4 linked regions of the Stegostoma tigrinum genome follow. The main gene of each other region encodes a partner of the protein of the gene in region 3 in a complex. Links are inferred from orthologs where the notes say so. Each region holds a gene or a part of one and is shown on either strand. Other genes may lie near its edges. The genes, in order: ahi1, tmem107l, tmem67 and cc2d2a.

Region 1 (7,364 bases), on a different chromosome or scaffold from region 3:
TGGTAAGAAGTTAAGTATAGTTAAAGAGACTTGACGGGTTCAGATGCATTGATTTTTATAATGTCACAAACTGGTGCAAAAATTAATCAAGAAAGCTAAAGGAATGCTGGCCTTTATTGTCTTGAGGGGTACAGTAGAAGGATGTAGAAGTTATGTTGCAGTTATACAAACTCTGCTTAGGCCTCAGTTGGAGAGGTGTGAGTGGACCTGGGCATTACACTTTATGAAGGATATGTTGGCCTTGGAGGTAGTACAATGTAGGTTTACAAGAATGATACCTGGACGTCAGGAGTTTATTTACCAGGAATGATTATACAATTTATACCTGTCTTCTCCAGAATTTAGATGGTTAAGGGTTGATCTGATTGAAGTTTTCAAGCTATTAAACAGGAAAATACAGAGTAGATGTGCTGGATCGCGGCATGTGCCTAAGTGATTCTTTCAGATTCAGGTTAAGAGAAGGCTCAACAACAGCAATTTGCTTAAATACAAATGTTTATTAAATAATAAATTATTATAATAGTAGTAGTAAATGATTATAGCAGTGATAATAAATGGAAGCGAAGAAAAAAAGCAAAAAGTCTCAAGTTCCTCTGCCCTCTGGAGACCCCTCGATCAATGTCTGGTCTACAGGCTTAGGTTCATTCCTGGCACCATTTACGAAGCCGGTCTTATGTTAAGTCCATCAGCCATGGAACAAAACTTTCACACTCTCATACAGTATTACAAAACAATCAGGACAGAAAACAACAGATACAACAGACAAAACAGCTGGCTCATTCAGAAAACAAGTTTTTTTTAATTGTGCTGTCTGTGGCACTCATCCAAGGTCATGCAGCTTGTTGAATATCATCAACAATTTTAGTCTTTCAGCATATCCTATATAATCCACCCCAATGATATATGACAGCATATGTTAGAATTACAGATGCAGACACACATCAGCGACAGCCACACAAGAATGTACAATAAACACCTACACTAGAAGATTAAAGCTACAATGAAAATAACTAGCATCGATACAAAGAATAGAACGATGGGGTGTATCGTCAAATTGATCGCAGTTCCCTTTGGGGACCTACCTTAAAATATATACATGTAGAAACAATACACCAAGGGTTGTGTGCACGCGTACACGCGTACACACACACACACGATGTGCTGTCCAGTGGAAACAAGGGTTATGGGGATAAGGATACTGATTGTGGATGATCAGCCATGATCATAATGAATGGTGGTGCTGGCTCGAAGGGCCGAATGGCTACTCCAGCACCTATTGTCTATTGTCTAAAAGAACAACCAAGTGGTGCCACCTGGTTGAGGTGACCAGAATATCCTCTACATTCTTAGTTAGTTATTCTATTTACATAATTTGCTCTACAGTTCAGTATATTCCAGATTCAGGTTCTTCATTTGTGTTTTTTTTTCAATTTTCTATCCACAGACTCCTGCTTAACGTGTGTCTTCGCTTGTTGTTTTTTCCACATACACTAATTGCCCTAACATATTTCAATTTCCCCTACTGGTTTAGTCACAAGAACATCCCAACCAGACTCATCCACCTACCATTTCCCGGTGACTCTACATTTCCCCATGTCTAATCCACCTAATTTACACACCCCTGAACACTACAGGCAATTTAGCATGGCCAATCCACCTGACCTGCACGTCTTTGGACTGTGGGAGGAAACCCACACAGCTACAGGGAGAATGTCTGTGTGGAGTTGGCACAGTCACCTGAAGGTTGAGTCGAAAGTTAAAAGTTAAAAAGTTAAATTTTTACCAAACTTTACGAATCAAAATTTTGACTCAACATTGTGCAAATTTTGGCTTTACACAACCACTAATGGTTTCTTAAAAGGTCATTACATTAACCGTATATGCTCCACACAAATAAAGGCACCCAATGCACTTTCAAATCACCAGAGACTCCCAAAATGCTGACTCAACGTCAAATTATCTCCGGCTGTAAAGCTCCAGGAATCAAAAAGACACAAATTATGTGAGGCGACATTCAGCAACCAACGAAGGTGCATTCAAACTAGACCACGAAGAGTTAACACTTCTACAATGTTCAGTGCACAGTGCCCCAGTTATAACTGTCTCCCACACATTTGGGGGCCCTAAAAGGGAGCTGCACCGGTGCCAGACTGAATTGCTTCTAATAATGCAGTTCATGCCTCTTCTATATTCATAGTTTAGTTTTTATGGAAAATCTGGAAAAGGAGGAGCACAAGTGTTTGGTACGTAGAAATGGTAGGCAGGTTTGAAGCACATAAATTATGTGAGATGCAATCACCTTATTTCATAGCAGTAACATCAATTTGAAAAGAATCTGAAAGTTGAACTTGGACTGATTGCAAAGGACACAGATGTGTTACTTGACTGATCACATGAAGCAGCCAATCCAGATTGGAGGATTTGGGCTAATAAATATGTTAAGAGAATGGATATTTCTAAGCACATTTTGAACTGTTTCAGAATGGTATTAATGAGGTATGAGACTACTTTCCTTACTCTGTTTTTTTTTAGCACAGATATTTTGGGGGTGAAATGCTCTTCCACAGTAGCATTTAGCAATATTCATCCAGACTATGAGTTTTGCCAGATTTCACATGAGAATTGCTTGGCTTCCCCTAAGGAGAAACTGACAAACTTCACGGAAACCCAGGTTCAACAGACTAATCAGTGGCTGTTAAATAGATGCTGAAACCTTCAAAATGTATTCATCTATGTTGTACGGTCTTAAATCCATCACCTGGTTAACTGCGAAAGTTCCTGAAGAATAAGTAGCAAAGTGACCACTGCATTATTGCGATAGCAAGCATAAGCTGGCTTCTTGGTGTACAGCAGTGATTCCTCTAGGGAGGAGATGTAGACAGTCAATGCATATGATTTTTCAAATGTAAGATTTGTCAAAGCCATCATACCTGTTGGTGTCTGGTTTGAATGAGGAACTCACAGGTTCCTTCATACTTCTTTCCTTTTACCCTTACATCTGATGCAAGAGCTTCATTCTGCTGACCTGCCTGCTCTGTTCCTTCCGTTTTGTCAACTGCAGAGTGTGATTCCACCAGGACAGCAATCGGTAGGGAACCCCCTGGTTTTGCAACAAATGACAACACCTTCTGGTTTCCGATAACAAGGTGTAGAGCTGGATGAACACAGCAGGCCAAGCAGCATCAGAGGAGCAGGAAAACTGACATTTCAGGTCTACATCCTTCAGTCTCCAACCATTTTAACTCCCACTGCCAGGGTGACATGTCCATCCTGGGCCTCCTCCAGTGTCGCAATGACACCACCTGCAAACTGGAGGAGCAGTACCTCGTATTCTGCCTCGAGAGCCTACAGCCCATGGCCTAAATGTGGACTTAATCAATTTTAAAATCTCCCCAGACCTGCCTCATCCCATGACCAATGTTCCCACTCATCCCAGCCTCCATGACTTGACACAACCAGTCCATCTTCTCTCCCACATATCCATTCCTCCCACCTCACTGACCAATCCCTGCCACTGCCTGCTTACACTTACCTGTCACCATCCCCAACGCTCCTCTATTTATTTCTGAGCTCCTTTCACCCTCCCCCATTTCTGAAGAAGGGTCCTGACCCAAAAAGTTAGCTTTCCTGCTCCTCTAATGCTGCCTGGCCTGCTGTGTTCATCCAGCTCCACACTGTTGTCTCTGACTACAGCACGTGCAGTTCTTGCAGTCCTCTCAAAGGAGTCGCAGTGTAATCTATTTGGTGACAAAAGCAAAATAGAACAAGTGCTAGAAATCAGAAATTAAAGCAGAAACTTCTTAAAATACTCTAGTTCTGTGCAGCAAAAACATTCAATGGTTCCAGTGAATGTTTTATTATGAACATGCAATAAAACTTTTATTTACAAATACCATGCAGTTAAATCTACAGTCAGCAACCAACAATAAAACGATTAAAAAGCCAAATGTGGTAAACATTCATCATTCCTTACAACATCTGAAAAACTCATGCAACAAGAAACGGTGATGGAAAATAGAACAGTTCACAAACTGAAAGACACAACTAGAAAGGTTTGTTCCCATCCTCTATTGAAAGCAACATTTCCGGGTAGCAGTAAGACCAGTGAACTATTCAAGGAAAAAGTGCAGGATTTTAAAACTGTCATCAAAGACGCTTTAACAAGAATGTGGCCGCAAACTGAGACCTCCCCGAACTGGGGGGCTTTCCCAAATGAACTGACCCCTCGCTAACTCGGGCTTTACCCTAACCTGAGGTTTATTTCCCAGTTGGTTGAATGTGATTGCCTTTGGCGGCCGGTCCGGGCGCAACTTGAGCACGTGATTAGAGGAGGTGAGGCGAGATGATTGTGACGGAGCTGGTGCCGCGCCCCCTGGCAACAGTGGGAGGAGGAGTAGTGACGCTGGGAACGGACACCGCGGGCCGCTGATGCCGAACCGGTTGTAGCGTCACTTCCTACAGTCAGGTCAGTAACCGGCGATAACCCGCGTCTCCCCCATTGGTGCTTTCCGTCTCGGTGTAAGGCCGTCCTGCCGTTGCTAGGCCACGTCTCAAACAGTGGGGGTGAGTTTAATTTGGGGCCATTACGCCTCGCCTCTACCACCCCACTTCTCCGACCACTCCCGCACCATTTCACCCTCTAACCCCCATCTGCCCCCCTCTCTCCCTCCTATCTATCCCCCTTCCTCTGACACACTTGTTCTCCCTTGGATCACTGTCTGTGATCGTGTTCCCTCCCGGATCACTGCCTGGGATCTTGTTCTCCCTGGGATCATTCTCTGGCACCATGTTCTCTCCAGGATCACCGTTTGAGATTGTGTTCTCCTTGGGGTCACTCTCTAGTATCGTGTTTTCCCTGAGATTGCTATCTGGGATTGTGTTCTATCTGGGATCACTGAATTGTCCTGTTCTCCTTGAGATTGCTGTTTGCAGTCTTGTTCTGTCAGGGAACACTGGCAGGGATTGTGTTCACTCTGAGATTGTGTTCTCCCCAGGATCAATCTTTGGGATTGCGTTGTCCTTGGGATTTGTCTCTGGAATCTGTTTCTGGAATCATGTTCTCTCTGAGATTGTGTTCTTCACTGGGATCCTGTTCTCCCTGGGACCTGTTTCTGGAACGGTGCTCTCCGAGGGATCATTCTCTGAGATCTTGTTTTCCCTGAGACCACACTGTAGGATCTTGTTCTCTATGGGATCATGTTCTCTCCAGAATCGTCTGTCTGGGATCTTGTTCTCCCTGGATCACCTGTTGGATTTGTGTTCTGTCAGTGATTACTGTCTGGGATCATGGTCTTTCCAGGATCACTGTCTTCAGTCTTATTCCTAGACGTAATTCAGAAATTATTGTCTTCTGGAATTTTAAAGCAGTGGTAAAGAGATCTGTCAAAAATTAAGGAAGAACATAACTGGAGATGAACGAGACAAAGTCGACAATAAAAACTGGAACCTTCCCCAAACACCAATCAAGTAAGGGCTTCAGCGGACACATGTATAGTAACACCCAATCTTCAATCATACAAGTAGACCGAATTTGAAATCTATTTGTATGTATATTTCTCATTGTTTACGGGCACCATAGAGGGAATAAGTTCATGCTAATTTTTTTTAAAATTAGATTCCCTACGGTGTGGAAACAGGCCCTTTGGTCCAACAAGTCCACACCGCCCCTTGATATATCCCACCCAGACCCATCCCCCTATAACCCACACGCCCCTGAACACCATCGGCAATTTAGCATGGCCAATCCACCTGGCCTGCACATCTTTGGACTGTGGGAGGAAACCGGAGCACCTGGAGGAAACCCATGCAAACATAGGGAGAGCGTGCAAACTCCACACAGGCAGTTACCCGAGGTTGGAATCGAACTTGGGTCCCCTGGCACTGTGAGGCTGCAGTACTAAGCACTGAGCCACCAAGTCGAATTAGGAAAATCAGAATGGCTATTTTTATGGGATTAACTGAGAAATACCAGGGATATGTGAAAGGCAGGGCCAATACAACAAAGTAGTACAAGTATATAAAAATAGGATAAGGGCAGGAAAATAAATTAAACATCAGGGGAGTAACTTTGAGATGAAATAATTAATTTAGCAAGTAAATCAAAGTAAGTGTGTTTAAGCCATGGCTGCTTCGTTCAGTGAAGTGAAATGTGTCACCTTGGAAGTCCTGAACCCTACTACTGCCTTAGATGACCACGTGTGCAGCAAGTCTCCCAGCTGCAGAAACTCAAACTTAAGATTCAGAGCTTGAGTAATGGCTAGACATTGGTATGTTCTCAAGTGTGAGGGCTACATGGCTCACACATTTAGAGAGGTTGGCAAACTGCAGTTTACATGAATAACAGGAATGGACAACCACCAGACCGTCCAAGAGGAGAAGGCAGACAATCTCCTGGGGTACTGCCCACAAATCGGTTTTCTGTTTTGGAAACTGATGGGTGCTGGTCCTCAAGGAGATGTAGTCAGAGCCAAGCTTCTAGCACTGTATGTGGCTCAACTGTACATGAGTGGAGGAAGAAAACAGGAGTGATAATGAGAGACAATTTGTTATGTGTGGTAATAGATGGGCATTTCTATTGCTGTCAACGTGACTACAGGATGGTAAATTACCTCCTGATGCCAGGGTCAAAGATGTCACACAGCAGCTTCAGGGTATTATTCTGAGGGAGGGCGAACACCCGGAAGTTGTGGTCTGTGGTGCCAGTAACTTGGATAGGAAGGAGGATTGGCCCTTCAAACAAAATTTATGGAGCTGGGTCCTCAACTGCAGTTTTTTCTGGATTACTTTGATTACCCATATACGAGTGAATACAGAAAAAGGAGGATAATGCGTATGTGTAATTAGATAAATGGTGCAGGAAAGATGGCTTTAGATTCCCGGGACACAGGGACTTGCTGTGGAGGACATAGCAACTGTACAAGCTGGACTGATTGCAGCTGAGCAGATCTAGGACTGACTTCCTTGGGGGTGTTTTTCTGGTGCTTTTGGGAGAGCCTTAAACTAACTTGGCAGGGCTGTGAGTACCAAGGGAGCATAGTAGAAGAGAATACCAGGATTCATAGGGTACTAGTAGCACTAATACAGTGCATGCCAAATTAATCATGAATTTGGAATAAGGAAAAATGAAATGAAGTCCTAAACACGGTTAACATGAATATATCCAAGTACACAGGATAGAATACACGTGGTTTGGGTGGAAATATAATGAGGTGATAACTGAGACCTGGCTCAAGGAAGGGTAAGATAGAAAAAGAAAGAAAGGAGGGTAGAAGTATTTGTTAAGCAGGACATTGCAGTGATGGAAAAAGAGGATTTCTGAAAGGTTCAAGGACCCAGTCAATTTGGCTAGAGCTAAGGAGCTCAAG
Region 2 (6,910 bases), on a different chromosome or scaffold from region 3:
AATTATAAACTGTGGGGAGGATAATGAATAGGCTTGTTCAACAGCAGATGTATGGACAACAATACAGTCTGCCCAAACGGTCTTAATCAACCAACCATTGGTGTTCTATATGCAGGAAGTACAGGCAGAGGAACCTGAAAGCAGATGCTTGTTCAATCAGAGGCTGCTTCTTTTCCCCCATTTGATGCTGATGGGTTTGGCATTGAGCCTACCAGCCGTGCATTTGGGAGAGAAAATGACCTCTAATTGGGAAAACAGTGAGCTAGGCAAACATTAGTAGCTTAATCTAGCCTGATGACTGCAAACTGGGAGCAGTGACAATTCAACTTCTGTTTGAGGGGGAGGAGAGGGGATATTAGCCTAAATTGTGGTTGTGAGGGAAAAATATTCTGGGTTATGGAGCAAATCAGGAGGAAGATAAGGTTCTCTTCTTCCTATGCAGATGCCAGTCCCTTAATGGAGGTAGTCAAAAGGTGGTAAGCTGGGTGAAAGTGAGGTTTGCAGCAGGAAAGAAAGCATGAGTGTTTGAAAGATAGCATGTTGTTGTGTGTAAGTAAAATAGAGATATTGCATGAGTGAGAGAGTGTGAAAATAAAGGAGACTGTGTGTGAGTTGGTGAGGGGTGTTGAAGAAAGAGGCTGTGTGATTGTGACTATGTGCTATAAGAGAGAGAGAATCAGTGAAAATGTGTGTGTGACAGAGGTGGAGTGTGTGAGAGACACTCTGATTGGGGGATCGAGAGAGTGTGTGAGTGAGAAAGAAAGACATCTTGTTGAGGTTGTTGCAGAGCAAGCTCTTCCTCAAAATATACCAGCGCAAAAGGTACTAAGGCTAGATTGTTGAAGATTCTTTCTCAAAACATGTCTTTAGTCCTAATAGTTCACAGATTCCTACTTCAGTGCAAAATGCTTCGTTAACTATACCCAGCAACTTTGCTGCAATGACCTCTTACTCGTTTTCAGAACCAGAACATCTAATTTAATTTATCCTGGAGTACTTGAGGGCTGCAGCACCAACCATCAGTATGCAAGGAGCAATCATCTATGCAGTGATACAGAGGGCCAATAGAATGAGTGACACTCCAAAACTACACATGTTGCTCTCATAAAGCAATGGAGATTAGCACTTCAGTGCTCTAGTTGTAACTCCATGTGATTGTATGTAAGTCTCCTCAAGCTTGGCTATCAGCAACACAGAGGATTTTACAGAAGAAAGAGATCACATTAAAATAGTAGAACATGCTTTCCTGCTCCTCTGATGCTGCTTGACCTGCTGTGTTCATCCAGCTCTACAATTTGTTACCTCAGATTCTCCAGCGTCGGCAGTTCCTACTATCTCTGAAACCATATTTGCGAAGTGTTATTTTTACTGCAATAATATTGACACCCAACCACCCAAAGTGATTTTGTGCTTCTTTATTCTTTCTTCTCCTATTGCCTTGTATTTAAATCAAGTAAGTCTAAACTTACTCTCTTCTGAACTCCATCGGATAGAAGAATCAACTGCCCTCTTTTCCTTGTGAGACAACTCACTCAATCCACCTATCAATCTGATAAGCAATCTCTGAACCTCTTTGAACACACTTATATCCTTCCTCAAATGGGGAGATTAATAATGTAAACAGAACTCCAGATGTCACCAATGTCTTGTATAACTGAAGAATAACCTCTTTACTTTTGTACTCAATTTTCCTTGGAATAAATAATAACATTCTATGAGTGTTCCTAATTATTTGCTGTAGTTGTGTGCTAACCTTTTGCTAATCATGATAATCAGTTGCCTAGGGTGACTGTCTATTTGAGTTTGCACATTTTCCCCATGTCTACATGAGCTTCCTCCAGGTACTTCAGTTTCCTCCTGAAGTCCAAAGTTGTGTAGTTTAGGTGGATTGGCATGCTAAATTGCCCATAGCGTCCAGGGATGTGCAAGCTAAGTGAACTAGCCTTGGGAAAAGCAGGGTTGCCAGGATGAGGTGGGGGAGTGTGGGTCTGGGTGGGATTCTCTTCAAAGGGTCCCTGTGAACTTGATGGCCTGCCTCTGCACTGTAGGGATTATACGATCCTATGTATTGGAGCACTCATATCCCTTTGTTGCTCAGGACTCTGTGATCTCTCACAATTTAGTTAATATACTTTTTTTTATTCTTCCTGCTGAAATTAATCATTTCCCACATTATCTGCCACTTACCAGACATTTTCCCACTCACTTAACCTATCTATATTCCTTCATAGCTTTCTTACTTCCTATACCCGACTTACTTACTTTCCTGTATACCTTTGTGCCATCAGTAAATTTAGAAACCATGACTTTGTCCCTTTTATCTAAGTCAGTTATGGGAGTCATACATTAGGCTGTAAAGGCATTTGAGGAAGTGCACAAAAGTTTCACATGAATCATTTAAAGGGTTCTTCTTCAATTATAGAGAGAGATTGGAGATGTCTGGACTTTTCTTTCTTGGAGAGGTTTAAGCGAAGATTTGGTAGAGGCATTCAAATTCCTGGGGGAATCTAGACAAAGTAGACAGGGAGAAGATTATCCTATTGATGGAAAGATATAGAACTTGAGGGCAACGTTTAAAGGCAATTTTGGCAAATGAGGTTTTGCATTCAGGAGGAGACACTGTTACATGCAATGAGTGACTGGGATCTGGAATGAGCTGCCTGAGAATGTGGCTGCAAGTTTAATCAATGTTTTTAAGGATTTGGAATAGTAATTGAAAAGGAAGAATGTCTTTGCCTACACATAATGTGCATAGTAATGGAAATAAGTGAAATGCTTTGAGAGGCCATTGGTTTATTTTATGCTGGAATAATAAAGTGGATCTGTGACAAAAACAGAATTTTCTGGAGAAACTCAACAGGTCTGGCATCATCTGTGGAAAGAAAACAGAGTCAATGTTTCGAGTCTGCTGACCCTTCTTCAGAACTGTTGAATCAATGACTGCAAACAAAAAAAAATGCTGGACTCACAATGTGTTGCGCAACATCCATGGAGAGAGCAAGGCTATTTTTTGAGTCTAGATGACTCTTCAAGGCTATGATGAAAACTCACCTAGACTCTAAACATGAGCTTGCTCAGTTCTGAGGAAGGGTCACCAGACCTGAAACGTTAACTCTGATGTTTCCTTCACAATGCTGCCAGGCTTGCTGAGCTTTTCCAGCAACTTCTGTTTTGTTCCACTGTGATTTTTCGCATTTTTTTGTTTTCAGTACAGTTGCCATCATCTGCAGTAATTTGTTCCAAAATTGTGGTGAATCTATGACTCTGTTATGCGCTGTGCGAGTTCCGATCCTAAATTTTGTTAACTTCCACAACAGCAAATGGAATTAAGGGGTTTATCTTAACTTTTCGGTATAGTTCCAGTCATTCCACAGCTCAAGAAGTATTGGCCAATTCCGCCTCAATTATTGAAGTAGTCAATGTCGTGGGTATCTTCCCAGAATGCAAAGCGAAGCAGACAACTTAGTCACGTGAGATAATAAAATGTGAGGCTGGATGAACACAGCAGGCCAAGCAGCATCTCAGGAGCACAAAAGCTGACGTTTCGGGCCTAGACCCTTCGTCAGAGAGGGGGATGGGGAGAGGGAACCACCTCCTTGACCTGTCTGTCTTCCCTGGATCTGCCTCCCTAACCGGTTCTTCCTCTCACCCATCCCTTCCTCCAGCCCCAAGCCGCACCCCCAGCTACCTACTAACCTCATCCCACCTCCTTGACCTGTCCGTCTTCCCTGGACTGACCTATCCCCTCCCTACCTCCCCACCTATACTCTCTCCACCTATCTTCTTTACTCTCCATCTTCGGTCCGCCTCCCCCTCTCTCCCTATTTATTCCAGTTCCCTCTCCCCATCCCCCTCTCTGATGAAGGGTCTAGGCCCGAAACGTCAGCTTTTGTGCTCCTGAGATGCTGCTTGGCCTGCTGTGTTCATCCAGCCTCACATTTTATTATCTTGGAATTCTCCAGCATCTGCAGTTCCCATTATCTCTAACATAGTCACGCGGACTAGAAAGCGGGAGAAACCCCAGTGCGCAAGCGCGTAGAGTTAAGTCGCTGGCCGTCGTTTCTGAAGCGGAGGCGGAGAGAGACTTGGCAGAGGATTAGGAGAATTGGGAATCTGGGCGGTGAGATGGGGTGTTGGGGATCTGCCCAGCGGGATAGGGAGATTCGGAAATGAGGATGATGTCGTTATTTATGCTCCTGTTTTGGCTTTGCGGTGTGAAGAGCCGCGGTTACCTTGGCAACCTGCCGCCATTTTGTTTAAGGCACCAGCGGCGATAGGCTCGGCTCTTCCGAGAACAGCAGCAGCATTGAGTGTTTCCTCTGCCAATGACTATCCTGTCCAGCGTCCGCGGCCCGTATTACTGTTTCTGACTTCCCATGCCCAACGCTTCCGCAATGCGTAGTAGAACTTCGATCCAGGTGAACCCTCCGCCTCTCGGATCATCGGTAGAAGCTAGACCTGCCTCCTATTTGTGGCAGTAACTATCGTATCTTAGTAAGTTAGTTTGTTTACATATCTGAAAGCTGCATTGAAAAATCGCGGAGAAAAGGTAGATAAGATAAATGGATGGGTGTAGGCGGCCGTAGTAAGGTTAGCGGGAGACAAGGTAGATTCACAGGTGATGAGTGTGTTCAAGAATGAGTGAAGAAGAGATGGGGCCAGGTTGGTGAGGGAATAGGATGTCAGATAGAGGAGGGGTAGGGTGTCAAATGAGTAAGGTAGGATACTGTATGAGTTGGAACGAGTGGGGTGGCAGATAGGTGAAGCAGGCCGGATATTAATGGGACACGGGCTAGAGTGTCAGGTGGTTGAAGGTGTACCATGAATCTCAGGGCTGGTTAGGAATGTGTTAAGTCAGGAGTAGTTCATGTTAGTTAGGAGTTTGGTTTTGGAGGATTTTGGGCAGTGGAGGCAGTAAGGTTGTTGCAATACTGTTAGCTGTGAATAGAGTGGTCGATGTTATCAGAGATAATGGGAACTGCAGATGCTGGAGAATCCAAGATAATAAAGCAGGCCAAGCAGCATCTCAGGAGCACAAAAGCTGACATTTCGGGCCTAGACCCTTCATCAGAGATATGGTTGCTGAAGGATTACTGCAAGTGTTAATTGTTTTATATCCCCTGAGTGACTTCAGATAATTTACAACCCTCCATATGTCAGATCTTTAAAATTACACCCCTTTATGGGGTCACTTTTTTAAAATATGAATGTTTGTAAGTTGGATGTTCATAAATTAGGGATCCCTCTAATTGTGGGTAAATTAATCTTCTTCTGGTTTGTGAAAATCAAATTAGCAGAGGGTGACAATGAGGAAAAATTCATACGGTGTATCCTAGAATAAAATGTTGTGAATCTAACCAGGTATTAGGCTGTTTTAAGTCTGGTAATGTGTATAATGAATGATTTGGGTAAAACTTCCCAAGGAAACAGTGATCGCCCTGATAATATGGCAGAATTTAGCGTTCAGTTTAAGTGGTAGAAACTTGGATCAAAAACAACCAAACTTATCTCCACTTATCTGGATTCCATTTTCTCCCCCTTGGTCCAGGAACTCCCTCCTATGTCTGTGACACCAGCCATGCTCTTCACCTCCTCCTGAACTTCCAATTCCCTGGTCCCCAATACCTCATTTTTACTCTGGACATCCAGTCCCTACACACCTGCATTCCCCATGCTGATGGCCTAAAAGCCCTCCACTTCTTCCTGTTCTGCACACCTGATCAGTGCCCCTCCGCTGACGCCCTCAACCGCTTATCCGAACTCGTCTTCACCCTCGACAGCTTCTTCTTTAATTCCTCCCACTTCCTTCAGACAAAGGGGGTGGCCATGGGTACCCGCATGGGCCCAAGCTATGCCTGCCTCTTTGCAGGGTACGTGGAACAATCCCTCTTCCAAAGCTACGCTGGCCCTATCCCCCATGTCTTCCTCCGTTACATTGACTTTCAGTGCCACCTCGTGTTCCCACAAGGAGCTTGAATAGCTCATCTGCTTCACTAACACCTTCCATCCCAACCTTAAGTTTACCTGGACAATCTCTGACACGTCTCGCTCCATCCTGGACCTCTATCTCCATCTCTGGCATCCACCTGGAAATCGATATCCATTTTAAGCCTACCGACTCCCACAACTACCTAGAATATTCCTCCTCTCATCCACCTTCCTGTAAAAAGGCCATCCCCTATTCCCAATTCGTTCACCTCTGCCACATCTGCACCTGAGATGAGACATTTCAGTCCTGAACATTCCAGATGTCCTCTTTTTTTCAAAAACCGCAACTTCCCCTCCACAGTGATTGAAAATGCTCTTGACCGTGTCTCCCGCATTTCCTGCAACTCATCTCTCATACCCGCATCGCAATAATAGCCAAAACATAATCCCCCTCGTCGTCACGTCCCACCCCAACAACCTCCAAATCCAACGCATCATCCTCCGACATCTTCACCATTTGCAATCTAACTCTACGACCAAAGGTATTTTTCCCTCCACACCAGGATGTGCTTTCCGGAGGGACCACTCTCTCAGTGATTCCCTTGTCTGCTCCACACTCCCCTCCATCCCCACCGCCCCCGGCACTTTTCCCTGCAACCAAAGCAAGTGCTGCACCTGCTGCTATACCTCCCCCTCTTCGCCCATCCTAGGCCCTAAGAAGACTTTACACATTAACAGAAACAGGTGAACATCTGTTTAATGTGATATACTGTATCTGCTGTTCCCGTATTGGCTGCCTCTACATCGGGGAAACCAAATGGAGGCTTGGGGACTGCTTTGTGGAACACTTATGCTCAGCTCACAACAAATAACTACACCTCCCAGTCGTGAACCATTTCACCAACCCCCCCCCCCCCCCCCCCCCCCCCCCCCACACCTCCCCCAACTCCTTAGACGACATGTCCATCCTGGGCCTCCTCCA
Region 3 (7,576 bases):
TTCCTTTTGACCTTTGGCTCTCTCATGCATAGAAGCGATACCAAGTTCAAACACCTCTTCTGAAGTAACCACCTTTAGCACAACTTCTCTTCCTCCAAGCTTTTTACCATATAATCGCTCAGCACTTAGTACTTCATCTTCAGACTTGAACTTGACCAGAGCCTCCCCTAGTCCAATGCCATTACTATCAACAAGTATTCGGATCCCATGTTCAGCAACACCAAATCCCTCAAAGAATTTATGGATCTCAGCTTTGGAGATATCAAATGGAAGATTACGAGCATAAATATACAATCTTGGGGAATGCGCTCCTTCTCTAGACGGGTACATTTTTTCTTCAATTCTATAGGCAGATTTTTCTCTTGATCTTTGCTTCTTAATAGTGTCCATCAACTCTATCATAGCTTTTTTAGTGAGCGGATATAGATAAACTGCACGGTTTGCAATGTATGTCTTATGGTATCTTAAAGCTTTACGCATCTCAGCATCATTTCTAAACTTGACAAAGCATTCCTTAGTATTTTTACCATGAGGATCTTCTACAAGGTAAATCTGGTCATCTGTTATGTTTAGTTCATTAAAGAAATTTCGTACATCTTTTTTTGAAATACTATATGGTGTATTTTTTAACTGCATCCAATAGTCTTGATCTTGAGGGGAATAAGATCGAGACCTGTGCCTTCGAGGTGACCTTGATCGAGTTTGAGAATGGAAATGTTTATTTTCACGATGAGGGGAACGACCTCGATTGTGTCGGTTTAGATCCAAATGTCTATCATCTACAAACAAATCAGATCCCCCAGAAATCCAGTCTAGTTCTGTAGCTCGATACACCTCGACAAACCTTTGCCCCATGTATTTTTTGTGACGCTTTAGTCCCTCAGCTGCATCCCAAGAACTGGCAAACCGTACAAAACACTCTCCATTATTCAGACCTCGGTAATCCTTTTGTAGACGAACTGCTTCCACTTGTAAACCATGGAAGAATTCTCTCACTTGCAGCTCTCCTGCAGAATATGGCATGCCTTGCAGATGCAAATAAACATCATCAGTATGAAAAGCTCCTTGCTCTCTCCTTTGATTATAAGCTGAATCAGCAAAACGATCCATTGACCCAGAGCCATTAAATTTATCCAAACTATCACTCATTGCTCCAGAGGTCATTCCAAATAATGCAGACATTGAGGAACTAGGAGCAACTGCAATGTTCTGTGGAGAAGATAAGGCCATTGTCGACATATTGCCACTCATCATTGGATCCATACGAGTACCATAGCTGTTCATGTCAGAACTTCCAATTTCACCAGGATGAAAGGCATCCCTATTAATTTCATGTTGCATTGCTGCAACTAAGTTTTCAGCTAGTGTAGAAGACATACTACCTAAGCCACCTGTGCCAGAATTGCTGAATCCCGACCTTCCGTAACTGGATGTTTCTCCACTGGGACGTGCATATCTCTTACGACTCATCTCAATAGTACTCTGCATTTCGTTTCTGCTACTTAATGTTAGCTTTGTTCTACTCCCTTTAAGAAATTCACCCGATCTCATCAAAGCAAGCCGTGCATCTTCATCTGTAGCAAATACAATGAATGCCTCTCCCAGTTCACCACCAATTATATGCACCCCTCCATCAGGAATGGTTAATCTAGAGAAGAAGTGACGAATATCCAAGGTTCCTGCAGAAACTGGGAGCCCCTGCAAGCGGATGACCACAGCCATGCTGAACTCTATCAATAGAAAATGTTACCTGCAGGCAAGAAAGGCACACAGGATGACGTCAAATTATGTCAAAAAAGGTTCTGGATACTGCATTAACTTCCAAATATAATATTAATAAAAGTCAGAAATGTTAATTTTAAGAATAAAACAGATTCTTCTTACTCTGCACAAATTTGTTTAAACGTTGACCTTCAATTCAAAAAGTATAACCAAATCTCAAAAGCTCCCAACTCTCAAACCACCAAAAACACTAAAGTTGTCTGTGAAAATTCTGAAGATATCTTCCAAGCCACAACAGTTCTCCACAAGATCTGATGATGACTGAAATTGTCTTTAATATGAAAAATGCCTCAATTTTAAATCAGCCACAGCACCTCAGTGGAATTCATCTCGAAATTACATGATAGATCTAAGTTCTAGTAATACTTCAAAACTGCTGTCCAAGTAAGTGCTGCTAATTAGTACTGTATCATTCCTTCTCCAAACAAGGAATGTAAAAAAGGACCTAGGGTTAAAGTTCAACTGAAGTTAGCTAAAAACAAAATACAGTCTATTTTGCAAACTGCAACCATGGCTCTTTATATAAAGAGTCCATCACATCTTTTCTCCCACATGGTAATCCACCCGTCAAATAACTTCACTCCAGGCTTGGACAATTCCTATTTATTGTATTCTCAAAAAAAATACAAACAAACCACCTCAAACTAGTAACTCAAATTTTCTTTTCCCTTCACGTATTGCTCTGAACTCTGCAAACGACTCCAGATATAAAGCAAATGCAAAATCCTAAAATCCACATTGGGGCATTTTCAAAATGTTGTAAATGACTCCAGGCAAACTGAAAAATCCACTACTGCACATAATTCAGCAGTCCACTTGAGAAAGAAGTTACTTGATCTAAAAATATGTTTCTTTCAGGTATATCACAACATTAATGTTTTCGCGAAGATCTCGGGTGCTGTAGACTTGATTCTGTAGCAACTCAAAGGCAGGTTCAGCTAACAATATAGCGTATGCATTTAATACAACTAGAATTCTTCTTTTTTTTCAAATCTTGATTCTTTTGAAGTGATAGTCCTTACGTTTATGTTTTTGTTCCATAAAGGAGATTGAAAGTGATTGTTCTGGAGTTGCACTTTGTATACACAGACTCTCACCATCTGTTCAGAACACAGATTCCTGGTCTAAATACTAGTTAAAACTATGGGCAATAGGAATAATGCACATAATTCGGTAATAAAGCAAAATTAAAGCAACAGTCGCAAAAAACCGAATATGCACTTTGAGAAGTTTAGATTACTCCAATGCGTTGGGCTAAACAGCAGTGAACAAATATAGCAACTCAACTATTGTAAAAATAGAAAGATCAGATTCAAAATTTTGTTGCCAACTGTCGTAATTCATTTACAAGCAGAAAAAAAATCTAATATGCTACACAGGACAAAGTTAAATACTAACTGTGCATTATAAAATATATCTATTAGTTCAATAAACACAGTTTTTTCTTAACTGCTGCTTCACAATGAGATGTAAACCTACACTAAAACACAGAAATTGTGATGCACAGGAAATGCAAGTGCTCTGCAGCTTGGTGTGCACATTAACAAATTTTAACCCATGCATGGCTACTTCAGAAATGATACATTTATTACAAGTTTATTTTCACTTTCCCTTTGGTTTGAAAGTCACTATTCGTTACTGAATCGTGACATTTGCAATAAAGAAACTCAAAAGTGTCAAATGGTTATGCGACAATAATAAAGGTTTATAGTTTATCCCAGTTAGACAATTTTCAGTCACCTACCATTTGTATGACACTAACCTGTAAAAAGGTTTCTTTTAAGCAGATGCTTGAACAGATTCGTTAAAATCAACTCTACAGACTGCAAAACAAAAGAACAAGATTAAACCTGTAATAAATCCATTTCAAATCAAAATAATGGTGGGTTTATCGAGTTATAAATTTCAAGCACCTGCCATTGAACAAACTTTATCTAATTAAAAACATTTCAATAAAGTTATTCCACACCGAAAATTCATTTCATTGACTTGTGAAAATTTTGCTATAACAAAAAAATCCATTTACAGCAGGCCACGACCTTGATTAGAGAGCATTACTTTCCCACTATAACAGAAATAGCAAGTGCTGAAAATTGATAAACGGCTTCAAGAATTAAATTCTTCTTTCCTAGAAACGATGATAAATCTAAAAATAATTCAATAATTCTGAGAAACCGGCCAGTGTTATCAAACAATGGTTAATGCCAAACAACTCAAGGCAAATGATCAAATGTCTGATGAATGATTAAGTCAAAGATTCAAGTTTTGATTAGCATTTTGAACAGCATGAAATGGTTGAGAGGCTCAGCAGGGAATTCAACAGCTTAGTGCCTGCAAATCAGTGGATTCAAATCAAGGAAGTGTATCAAAAACGCTTCAATGCTTTTCCAGATCAAAATGACGGGCTATATCCATGTCGATCATTAGTGATTAAGACAATTAAGACCGATATATAATACAGCCTTTTCCTTTGAAAAGCCGTTTCTGATTCAGAAATGCTTATTTGCCTCAGAAAACTACATTCAAAAATCACTATAGCGGGTTTGGTAATAGAGCCAAATAGACAAGCAGGGTGCTTGACAACGTTATCGGGAACTGTTCAAACTCATACCATACTGAATGAAATAAATCCGTTTCCCAAGCAGAATCGTTTAAAGTGTTTTGTTTCCCAACCCCACCCCCCAGTATTTTTAAGTCTTCGTTTGTTTAAATCGCAGGTCGTCGAGATAAAACGGTCAGACAATTCAGGTCAAAGGTGGAACAGGCGTAGGTAACCTCTGCAAGGATTCAATTTATTTAGTACGCAGCCCACTCCACGTGAACAAAAATGTTCGTGCGGGCGGGAGCTGCAAGCCAAAGGGAAAAAAACCGAAGCGGCAATAAGGTAAGTGGCTGGGCCTGCACTTTTACTACATCCACTCTCCAAACTCCCCCGCCCCAGTTCGGACTCGCTCCTCTCCAGCAAAGGCCCGGTTTTTCCACCCGACCCGGAGAAGGGAAAGACGCCCGCCGCCTCAGCATACGAACTGCTGCTTCCCAACACCCACCCCTTTGGAAAGACAGAAAAAGCCAGGTTAAAGGGAGGCAGTAGCCCGTCTACACCAACTAACCCGCCGCCGCCGTCGTCGCCTGGTCTCTTAGCCACCGACACGATGGCGCTTCCGCCGCCTCCGGAGAGAGAAGTCCTGACAGTTCTGTATCCAAATATAATAAATCAAAGCCCCATTGCTTGGGCAAACTCAAAGTCGATTGAGGTTCAGAACTCTACAGTATGGTTTGCCGATTTAAGTCTTGTTTTTATCTAGACCAGTGATCAAACGTTGTCTTTTTTTCCAGTGGAGTTATTTTGAAGCGGGGAGCTGTCAGGACCTGCTGCCTGCCCCGGTGTATTTTGGGAGAGCCGGAGGGCGGGCAGAAGAGACGGTTGGCTGTGGCAATGGGAATCGGGGAGGCGTTCCAGTGCTGGCTACTGCTGTTTCTCTTACAGCTACCGTTTACCCAGACCGTTATCCTTTCCATGCCTTTCCAAACCGCGAAACAATGCACCAAGCGAGAGTATTTTGACATTTCTCGTATGGTGTGCAGGCCGTGTGGCGCCGACCAGCAGTCAAGTAGCGATGGTGGGTAAAACTTGTCAGATGGTTTTTGAGGGCAGGGGTTGGTTGGTGTTTAGCGACAAGAAATAACTCCGCATGAAAAACGTTTGCTACGTAGCAGCAAGTAGGCTAGGCGGAGAACGATCGGTTTTTACTGGTTGAGGAGCCTACCCGACGACACAAAAAAATGACCGAAGGGAAAGGCCGTTCAGCCCGTCATGGGCATACTATCTCATTAATTAAGCACCATTATTTGACTCCAGTTGCCTACTTTTTCTCACCTGGATGTTTTGGAGATTAAATTAGGACACTAGCAAAAGATGGTACTCTTCCAAAAAAAAACGACAGTTGATCATTTTTAAATTTTGAGTTTGATGGTGTTAGATATCAGGTTGACAGCCGAGCACTCCGTCACGTATTTAACAAAGGTTTAGTAGTTAACTGCTCTTGTTGCTGCAATCTGACCTTGCATCCTCAGATCAGGTGGCCCAATATACACAGTGATCTTTTCCATTTTGGATGCAACTGCCAAATAGTAGGGCCTCCCAATGTTCCGGGGAGGGAGTGTGGGTTGGGCAGTGGTGTTAGCTGACATTTTCAGGTAGCCAGTTGTGGCAGCAATGATCAAATGTCCTTTCCCCGTCACGATTCCCTTTCCCCTCATATTACCCCACATGCCATTGATTTGTGACAATTTTCTATCCTTGCCTGGTTAGGGTCAAGTGGGAAAATGTTTGAGAAGCACTATCATCTCTAATGCTTAAACACTTCCCTCATATGTGTATTTAATTCGTTTAGCAATGTCACAATGAAGGTGTGCATATGAATGAATGCTTCTTTAGCCTCAAAAGGCAAAATGGCTGGTGTCTTCATTTGATTTTTCATAACTGTCTTGAGGTGCCCATTTATTTTTCTTCTGCACTGGAGTCATGCACTGAGACCATGAGATGTAGGAGCAGAATCACAGACTTGTTATAGTACAGAAGGAGGCCATTTAGCTCATCATGCATACACTGTTTCTATTACCTGTTGCCAATCCCTGCTTTATTCCCACATCCCTGTATACCATTTTTATGCAAGTAATCATACAATATCGTCTTAAACACCTCAATTGAACCTGCCTACAATGCATTTCCAGGTAGTTCATTCCATATGTAAACTATCTGATAAAATTTTCTCATGATCATTGCCTAGTTTGTGTATCACTTTAAATCTATGCCTTCTCATTCCTTTTTCTTTTACAAGTGGGAACAGCAACTCCCGACTTGCTCTATGCAGCCTACTCATGATTTTGAAAACCTCTAGCAATTTCCTCCAGCCACCTTCTCTCGAAGGAGAACACTTCAACTTCTTGAAATATGCCCTCGTCACTGAAGTCTCTCATTCCTGGAACCTTGTTTGTAAATCAGTTCTCAACTCTGCTTTCTCTGTGTGCCATAACTGTTCAGCTATGGTTGAACAAATGTTGTACAAGTTCAACATCACCTCCGTACATCTTGTATTCTGTGCCCCTGTTAATGAAGCCAAGAGGGCTGTATGTTTTATTAACTGCTCTCTTCACTTGTTCTGCCACCTTCAATGATCTGTGCACATAAACACTCAGGTCTTTCTGCTGCTATCTCTTTTAGAATTGTAAGCCCTCTTTCATGTTGTTGTTGTTGTTCAATGTTCTTCTGACCAAAGTGCATCACCTCAAACTTCTCTGTATTGAACATTGTTTGCCACGTATCTGACACTCTACAAATGTGTCATAGAAACATAGTAGATATAAGCAGGAGGAGGCCATTCAGCTCTTGAGCCTGCTGTGCCATTCTTCACAATCGTGGCTGATCATCCAACACAATAGTCTAATCCTGCTTTCTGCCTTTGATATCATTTGTTCCAAGTGCTATGTCTAGTCGCCTCTTGAATGCATTCAGTGTCTTGGCTCCAACTACTAGAATTTCCCTGGCTCACCATTCTTTGGGTGAAGAAATTTCTCCTCTTCTCTGCCCTAAATAGTTTTCCCTGAACCTTTATCCTGCAACCCTGGTTCTGGACACACCCACCATCGGGAACATCCTACATGCATCTAGCCTGCCCACTCCAGTTAGAATTTTATAAGTCTCTGAGATCACCACCCCCCCCCCCCCCCCCCCCCACCCCGCATTCATCTGAACTCTAGCAGAAACAATTCCAACCTAGTCAAGCTCTCCTCA
Region 4 (7,578 bases), on a different chromosome or scaffold from region 3:
GATTTAAAAATTCAACAAACAGCATAAGCTACAGCCTGATCCACTTTCTGGAATAATCGAGATCCAAACAGCAAATATTTTGTCACAAAATGCTCTTGCCTTTCTTCCTTTCAAAATTGATATTTCATTTCAGGTGTACTTCTTTATTGACTTAACCCAGTTCAGTTCCTCTGCATCCCCGTCCATCATAAAGCATTCATTTTTATATTATTTTTTGGCTTTAAAAAGCGAAAAATAAATCTTACCCTTGTTAGCTATATTTCTGTACATTAATTGAATTTATAGCTGATCCATTCAGTACCAATGTTTGAACTTACTATTTCTATCAATGTAACATTTTATATCATATGGTCCCCAGCCTAAGGCAATGTGATCAGAAGCAAAAGTGATTAATTTGTCTTCTTTGAACCATGCTAATACCATTTGTCTTGTCTAGTTTTGAATGAGGAGAATGTTATGTCTGTTTTCCTTTTACATGGCTCACTGTGTTACAGAAGCTGCAGCAACAGGAATACAGCAGATAAATGAGAACCTACAATATGTATATCCATGCTGAGCGAACATCCTAACAATTACACCATGAGTACTACATAAGCTACAGTGGCTCAAGAAGGCAATTTACTGCAACCTTTTCAAGAGATGAGTGATATTTCTGGCCTATCACATCATCTAAATGAATAGAAGTCCAATCCACCTAGGTAACACCATTATAAGTACTGTCAGATGGAATATTTGAAACCCTTGCACTCTACTACAATTAATCCCCATTGAGAAAATGACAGAGAAAATTTAAAGTAAAACTATTTCACTCACTCTGCAGAAGCCATTTTCTTTAATTAATTCAGTTACGAAATGCCTTTGATTTTCATACAGTCTTCGTTTACTGCACAAAAACTGGGTAAAGCCGAAATCCACTGATAGTATTTTACATGCATCCTGCAGTGAAGGTAATGGATTCCATTATGTAGCTTCTAGTGCCTGTTATAAAAGATGATGTAAATTAAGTCACACATACTGTATTAATATAATCAAATAAATATCTTACAGTGGACAACCTATCATTGAATATAAACAAAAATACATATTCATCAAGCACAGTAATATTGCAAAAAATTACTTTCTGCTAGAATTTTGCATTTATTATGCTGTACTCTGTTCTTGAAGTTGTGAAACTGCTTTAATGATCAATATTTTGCCATTCCAAACATAGCATTCTCAATATCAAAACAATAACAGAATTACTAGATTAATAGTAATCTATGTTCAATATTCAGCCAATTGAGGAATAAGACTATCAGAGGTTGAAAATTGAATTATTACCATACAAGTATTATAGGATCAATCTAAATTTTTCAAAGTTTACTGCAATACCATTCAAACTTGTAATCTTAAGAAATGATTTCTATCAGCAAATTCTATAAATCACACGGAATCAAAGCAGAATACCAGAGTAGAAATAGCCAAGTTTGCTGAAAGAAAGGAGAAATTTTGTCAAAGCTTTTTGAAATGTGCTCTTCAAGACTACCAAAAATAAAACAAACTTCAAATGGAACGCTAATTTACACTGCAAGAGAAACACGGTGCTTACAGGCTGGTTAGTGGACAGGTATTTTCTTACATAGGGGCATGCTCCCTATAGGCAGAAGGAATTTGTCAAGACTTTGAACCTTTTCCATGAAACAAAACTTTGGGTTTCACTATTCCTTATTGCATTCCTGATGATGCATAACAGCCAAAAATAATTTTGTTTTTTCTGAATTTATATGAAAGCTTTAGGGTAACTACTTCCCTGGTATATTCTCATGGTCAAAATCTGAACTAATCCGAGTTCACTTGCCAGCCAACTGGCACCCTGTTTCCTACGCAGTAAAAACTATTGTTTTCTTTGAAATTTGATGTTCTTGCGTACTGTCCTGATGAGTGCAAAATTAAAAGTTTCAACAGCATGTCTTTTTATTCATCAGTACTCAAGTTACCAACTACCGAACGATGACAGCCAGATCAACAGAATAGGTATTACAAACAAGCTCACTCTGGGAAAGTATGAGTCACTTATTTTGGGGTAAGTGTGTTTTTATATAAGTAGATGAAAAATATTGCAAATATACAAAAGATTTCAGAAGTTCAATAAGTTAGTATATTACTGGTTAAAAATTAAACTCGCAAGGAAGCTTAACCAGATGATGCAGGGTACTTGACAATCTAGAAGTATTGCTTTTAAATCTGGTGCACATTAAAGTTTAAAATGATCAGGATGAGAATGTTATAGAACACAGAACATTACAGCACAGTACAGGCCCTTCGGCCCTCGATGTTGTGCCGACCTGTCATACCGATCTCAAACCCATCTAACCGGCACTATTCCATGTACGTCTATATGCTTATCCAATGACGACTTAAATGTACCTAAAGTTGGCGAATGTTGAATTAGGAAGGAACACTTATACGTGTTAACAAACTTGAAGAAAATAAAACTAAGGCTTGACACAGAACTACAAAATAACAACGTGCATTTAGTTTAATAAAATAATCCAAGGTGCTGTGCACGAGCATGAGGTATTTCAAGGAAGATATCGGCACACGCAGCCTGAAAGCAAATGCAGGATGTAATATGGACAATGGGTACAGAAATAAGGACAGAATTAACCATCAAAGTTGAAGATTCGAAAGAAGACATATGCACGCAAACATGAAACAGTCAAAATCGGTAGCTCTACACTTTTTATCACAGTCAAAATAGGAACAGCTTCCCATAAAACAAAGGTGCTGCAACAATTGACACAATTTTTAAAAATCTGGATTTATGGAGGGAAAGCTCTAAAAAGAAGCCATGGTGAATCAGGATAGATCGCAATTCAATGAATGCACTTACATTGTACGTATTTCTGATTTACATTCTCCTCCAACAATGAGACCCTGGATCTGTAATGACGCCGCTGGCGTCCAGGAAACCACTCGCTTAGTAACCACTTATTAACCGGATTCGAGAGCCCCAGCGCGGAGCTGGCTCCTCGGGGCGGGCAGAAACACGGTGCCGGAGCCCCAGCGCGGAGCTGACGTCTCAAGGGGCGGGCAGAAACACGGAGCCGGGAGCCCCAGCGCGGAGCTGACGTCTCCGGGTTGTGCTCAAGAAGGGGGCCCGATATCTCCACTGCGGAGCTGGAACCTAAAAGCCCCACAGCGGAGCTGGGACTTGGAGAACGCGAATTTGCTGGAGTGGTTCCCTGTCAATCATGCAGCAATGTTAGATTAATTTTCGGCTACGGTGGCCTGGTTGGGGAAAAGGAAAATCTCAACTTCGTTTCCGGTTGCTTGTTTCACACACCAGTTCACTCTACCAGTTGTACGTACATTTTGAAAGAATTATACGGTCATATAAGTCGGCAACAAACTAATTTTGCAGTTTATGATATGAAAAATTATTATGAAAGTAATGGTTACATTTGAAAAGAATGAATGAGCTAAAGAGTGGAATGAAATTTAGTACAGGCTAGATTGAAATATTGGATAGAAATTGAACGTGTTGGTGGAAACTCAGCAGCTGTGGAGAGAGAAACAGAGTTACCGTTTTGCAACCCTTTGCTTCTTCAGCATCTTTATTTGGAAAGCATGTCATTGGGACTTGAAAGGTTATCTATTTTCCTCTACAGGAATCCTGTCAGACCTGCAGAGTTTCTCCAGTCCTTTCTGATTTTATTTTGGGTCTCCAGCATCCACAATATTTTGCTTTTGTATCGGGTGTGGCAAGGAGAAATAGCCAATGCACACTTTTTGCATTATGCTGCAAAAGTTGTGCCTGAAGCTGAAAGAGGCCCCAGAATTTTAGCCAATTTACGCTCAACATGTCCATCCTGAGCAAAAATCAAAGGTCATTTTTGAAATGCTTAGGATGTTGAACAGCACAGCATAAATGGTTGAACATATGCCAAAGGAAACTGTAATGTACATAAGTCTGATCTGCTGTGAGTTTTCATTGCTAAGCAACAAATGTTAATGTTAAGCATAGAAAGGGGTTTCTGAAAGATAATTTTTAAAATGTCATAAAATAATTTAGAGCTTTTAAAAGTAAAATTGTTTAAAATAAACAGTTGGGAAACAATGGATACAATTTCAAATTAGCAAAAAAAAACTTTAGGATCCACACACGGAATCCTTCTTCAGGCAGCATAGTTAATACTTAGAATGGACTTTCAAGCAGTTTATTGCAAATGTAAACTCTGGAATCACTGTTGAACCAACAGCATGCAAAATGGAATGATATAATAAAGCAAAGAATTGCAGATATTGGAAATCTGAAGCCAAAAATTTGCAGGTTTACCAGCATCAGTTAATTCTGAAGAGTCACTGGACCCAAAATGTTAACTCTGCTTTCTCTCCACAGATGCTGTCAAACCGGCAGAGTTCCTTCAGCAACTTCTGTTTCTGTTTCAGATTACCAGCATCCACAGTTCTTTGTTCTAGTCATGAAAAGATGCAATGGAAGACACCTGAAAACTTAGGTCAATTGACACATCATTAAATGCCTTTGACATAATTCCTCACATTTACTGTATGGTAGCTGAGTGTATCTACATCAGTAATAAGATGAGACTCATTTTTGCTCACATATTGGCTGGCTTTGGTGGTTCCCGCATTTTGTATTGTGCATTTTTGGCCAGCTATGATATCAGACATCTACCAAACAGACATGATTTTCTGGAGGAAACAACACGACCCTCCCTCTCTGGGATAGTAGGAACTGCTGGTGCTGGAGAATCTGAGATAACAAGGTGTAGAACTGGTTGAACACAGCAGCATTAGACAAGCAGGAAAGATGACGTTTCAGGTCTGGACCCTTCTTCAGAAATTTCTGAAGGACTGGAGAAACTCTACAGGCCTGACAGGATTCCTGGAGAGAAAAATAGATAACCTTTCACGTCCCATGACATGCTTTCCAAATAAAGATGCTGAAGAAGCCATGGGATGCACTCTGTTTCTCTCCCCACAGCTGCTGAGTTTCCACCAACATTTTCAATTTCTATCCAATATTTCAATCCAGCCTGTATTAAATTTCATTCCACTCTTTAGCTCATTCATACATTTCAAATGTAACCATTACTTGCGTGCTACCTTTTCATATCATAAACTGCAAAATCAGTTTGCATTCAGAATAGAATTGACTGTTAAGTATTTGAATGTTGACACAAGAGAACAAATTTGTTTCCATTTTTACATTGACATGTACCAAGTACATGATTCTCCTTATGACTTAAAAATATTGTTTCTCATAGGCTATGGTATGAGTCAAAGCAATCCACATACAGTCATGTGTGCTCAATTACTCAGTTAATGTTAAGTATTTAAATTTTTTGGTTGTGCCCTGCTTCAGACAAAACAGAAGTAACCTTTCCTTATGGTTATTGAGTATCTCAAAACAGGAAAGGTTCCTCTTTCCGGGATGCTTATGTCTCTAACACCTCATTTCCAAAATACTTTGGTATGTTTCATCATCAACATGTTAGATTATGATAATCCTCATAATTCCTTTGTTTTTGACGACACTGCCAAGTTTGAAAAGTGTTTAAAGCCAAGTAGGACTGTGCACACACATTTTGACTCAAGTATTAGAAACCACAAGTGCAAAATTGGACCAAAATTCCTGCTGTATCACTACATTCCCACAAATATGACACAACAAGACTTCTGCCCACGAAAATGTCCCAGTCCTGACTCCTTACCAAATCCTGGGGTTAGGCCCTATATAAATAATTTGTTTGACCAGTTTGCATCATTTACTCTTTTGGGTAATTCTCAAAAAACATCACAAAGTTTTTTTTTTAAACTGTTTCAATGTGTCAGAATTTTGCAACAATAACCCGTCTCTGGCTATCATTAAGGACACTATAAAGTTTTATGTTAAGCATGCCATTTTCCGGTATAATTCTGACATCTACATGTGATATAAATTAGGCTTTCTAACTCTGGTAGTGCACGTTCCTGGATGAGTCACAGAAACCCACAATTATTACAGCATAGAATGAGGCTGTTCATGCCTGCACTGATTCTCTTACCTTGTGTCAATCTCCTTTATCCCATATCCTTTGTCCCCGCTTTTTCCTCATATTCCTGCATACCATTTCTATCAACACAACTATTTAATGTCCTCTTGACGATATCAATTGAACCTGCCTCCATCACGTGCATTCCATACCCTAACTAATTGTTGTTAGAAAATGTTTCTTTTTCTCACATCACTATAGCCTCTTTTGTGTATCATTTTAAATCTATGACAGCAAGCTCTTTCACTTTTCAAGTGGGACAGCTTCTACCTGTCCATTCTAACCAGCCAACTCATAATTTTGAAAAATTACATCAAATTTCCTCCCAGACCTCTCTCTAAGGAGAACAGTCACAACTTCTTCAATTTACCCCAATGACAAAGGTTCACATCCCTGGAGCTAGGTTATGTTTCACAGCATGATCTTGGCTTCAAAATAAAATCCCGCTGTACCAGTAAAAGCAAAGTACTACCGAATTCCGGAACTGTGAAATAAAATCAAAAACTCTGGAGAAACTCAGCAGGTCCAGATGTTTCTGTGGAGAAAAACAAAGTGAGCATTTGAAGTTCAAAATGACAACAGCAGAAGTGAAGGGGTTTAAATTTTCAGTCGGATCTGTAACTCGGGTGGTGGCTGGGTTTGTTGGTTGGTTCACCCACATGACAGATTTCCATGCAACAGTTTTGCCTCTCTTCTAGGTGACATCATCAGTGTTGTCCGGTCTTCAGTGAAGCGCTGTTGTTCTGTTCCATTCTGAATTTATATAGCCTGGTCTGTTATGATGAGTAGTTCTGTTTCTGGTTTTGCTCCATAGTGGTATGTAGATGATGGTAGCAGTAGTTGAAAACCAGCCTTCCAGGAATTCTCGTGCTTGTCTTTGTTTCTCTTGTTCTGGTACTATTACGTTGTCCCAGTTAAATTGATGTCCTTCTTTGAATGAGTGAATGGAAACGAGGGGGAAATGTTCATGCCATTTTGCTGCCATTTGGTGTTTGTGTGCCCTGGTGATTTCTATTCATTCTGGCAAAGATGGACATTAGTTTAAATGGGACAAAGTAACAGTACTAGGACAAGCGAAACAAGGACAAGCACAAGAATTCCTGGGAGTCTGGTTTTCAACCCCTGGTACAATAAACAACCATGTTGCAATAGACTCTATTTACATAGTATGGAGTAAAACTGGAAACAGAACTCCTACCATAACAGACCGTATAAATTCAGAGCAGGACAGAACAACAACGCTTCAACAGAGACTAAACAGCACTGACAGTGTCACCCAGAAGGCGAACGAAACATTTGCATGGAAACAAGTCAGCTTAGTGGACCAACCAAAACTCCAACTGAAGGGGCCTGGAAAATTATGTTTTTTTTTATTTTGTTGATAAAGGGGGAAGAGGAACAAATGGAACAGACAGTGAGTGTGCAAATCTTTCAGTCTTATCTTGGAGGCTATGGGATAAAGCACAAAGATACGTTCACTGATTTAATTTGATTTATTGTAGTGACGTGTCCCTACGTGAAGTGAAAAGCTTTGTTTTGC

Evidence for each region.
Region 1: tmem67 (region 3) and ahi1 share a complex: the UniProt entries of both Homo sapiens proteins name them as parts of the tectonic-like complex. The link is inferred for Stegostoma tigrinum from reciprocal best matches to the Homo sapiens genes TMEM67 and AHI1.
Region 2: tmem67 (region 3) and tmem107l share a complex: the UniProt entries of both Homo sapiens proteins name them as parts of the tectonic-like complex. The link is inferred for Stegostoma tigrinum from reciprocal best matches to the Homo sapiens genes TMEM67 and TMEM107.
Region 4: tmem67 (region 3) and cc2d2a share a complex: the UniProt entries of both Homo sapiens proteins name them as parts of the tectonic-like complex. The link is inferred for Stegostoma tigrinum from reciprocal best matches to the Homo sapiens genes TMEM67 and CC2D2A.

The regions. Positions count from the first base shown.
Region 1 is NC_081357.1:43,904,914-43,912,277, reverse strand, and holds the start of ahi1 (jouberin), read left to right. Parts: upstream 1-4,362; 5' UTR 4,363-4,465; exon of another isoform or gene 4,466-4,563; intron 4,564-7,364. UniProt on the Homo sapiens protein: Involved in vesicle trafficking and required for ciliogenesis, formation of primary non-motile cilium, and recruitment of RAB8A to the basal body of primary cilium.
Region 2 is NC_081385.1:39,295,275-39,302,184, forward strand, and holds the start of tmem107l (transmembrane protein 107 like), read left to right. Parts: upstream 1-3,894; 5' UTR 3,895-4,494; intron 4,495-5,118; exon of another isoform or gene 5,119-5,213; intron 5,214-6,910. UniProt on the Homo sapiens protein: Plays a role in cilia formation and embryonic patterning. Requires for normal Sonic hedgehog (Shh) signaling in the neural tube and acts in combination with GLI2 and GLI3 to pattern ventral and intermediate neuronal cell types.
Region 3 is NC_081358.1:90,652,766-90,660,341, forward strand, and holds the start of tmem67 (meckelin), read left to right. Parts: upstream 1-4,556; 5' UTR 4,557-4,666; intron 4,667-4,892; exon of another isoform or gene 4,893-5,118; 5' UTR 5,119-5,218; coding exon 5,219-5,402; intron 5,403-7,576. Other genes in the region: rbm12bb (RNA binding motif protein 12Bb), read right to left, coding at 1-1,722. UniProt on the Homo sapiens protein: Required for ciliary structure and function. Part of the tectonic-like complex which is required for tissue-specific ciliogenesis and may regulate ciliary membrane composition.
Region 4 is NC_081354.1:82,080,167-82,087,744, reverse strand, and holds the start of cc2d2a (coiled-coil and C2 domain-containing protein 2A), read right to left. Parts: upstream 3,023-7,578; 5' UTR 2,873-3,022; intron 979-2,872; 5' UTR 828-978; coding exon 814-827; intron 1-813. UniProt on the Homo sapiens protein: Component of the tectonic-like complex, a complex localized at the transition zone of primary cilia and acting as a barrier that prevents diffusion of transmembrane proteins between the cilia and plasma membranes.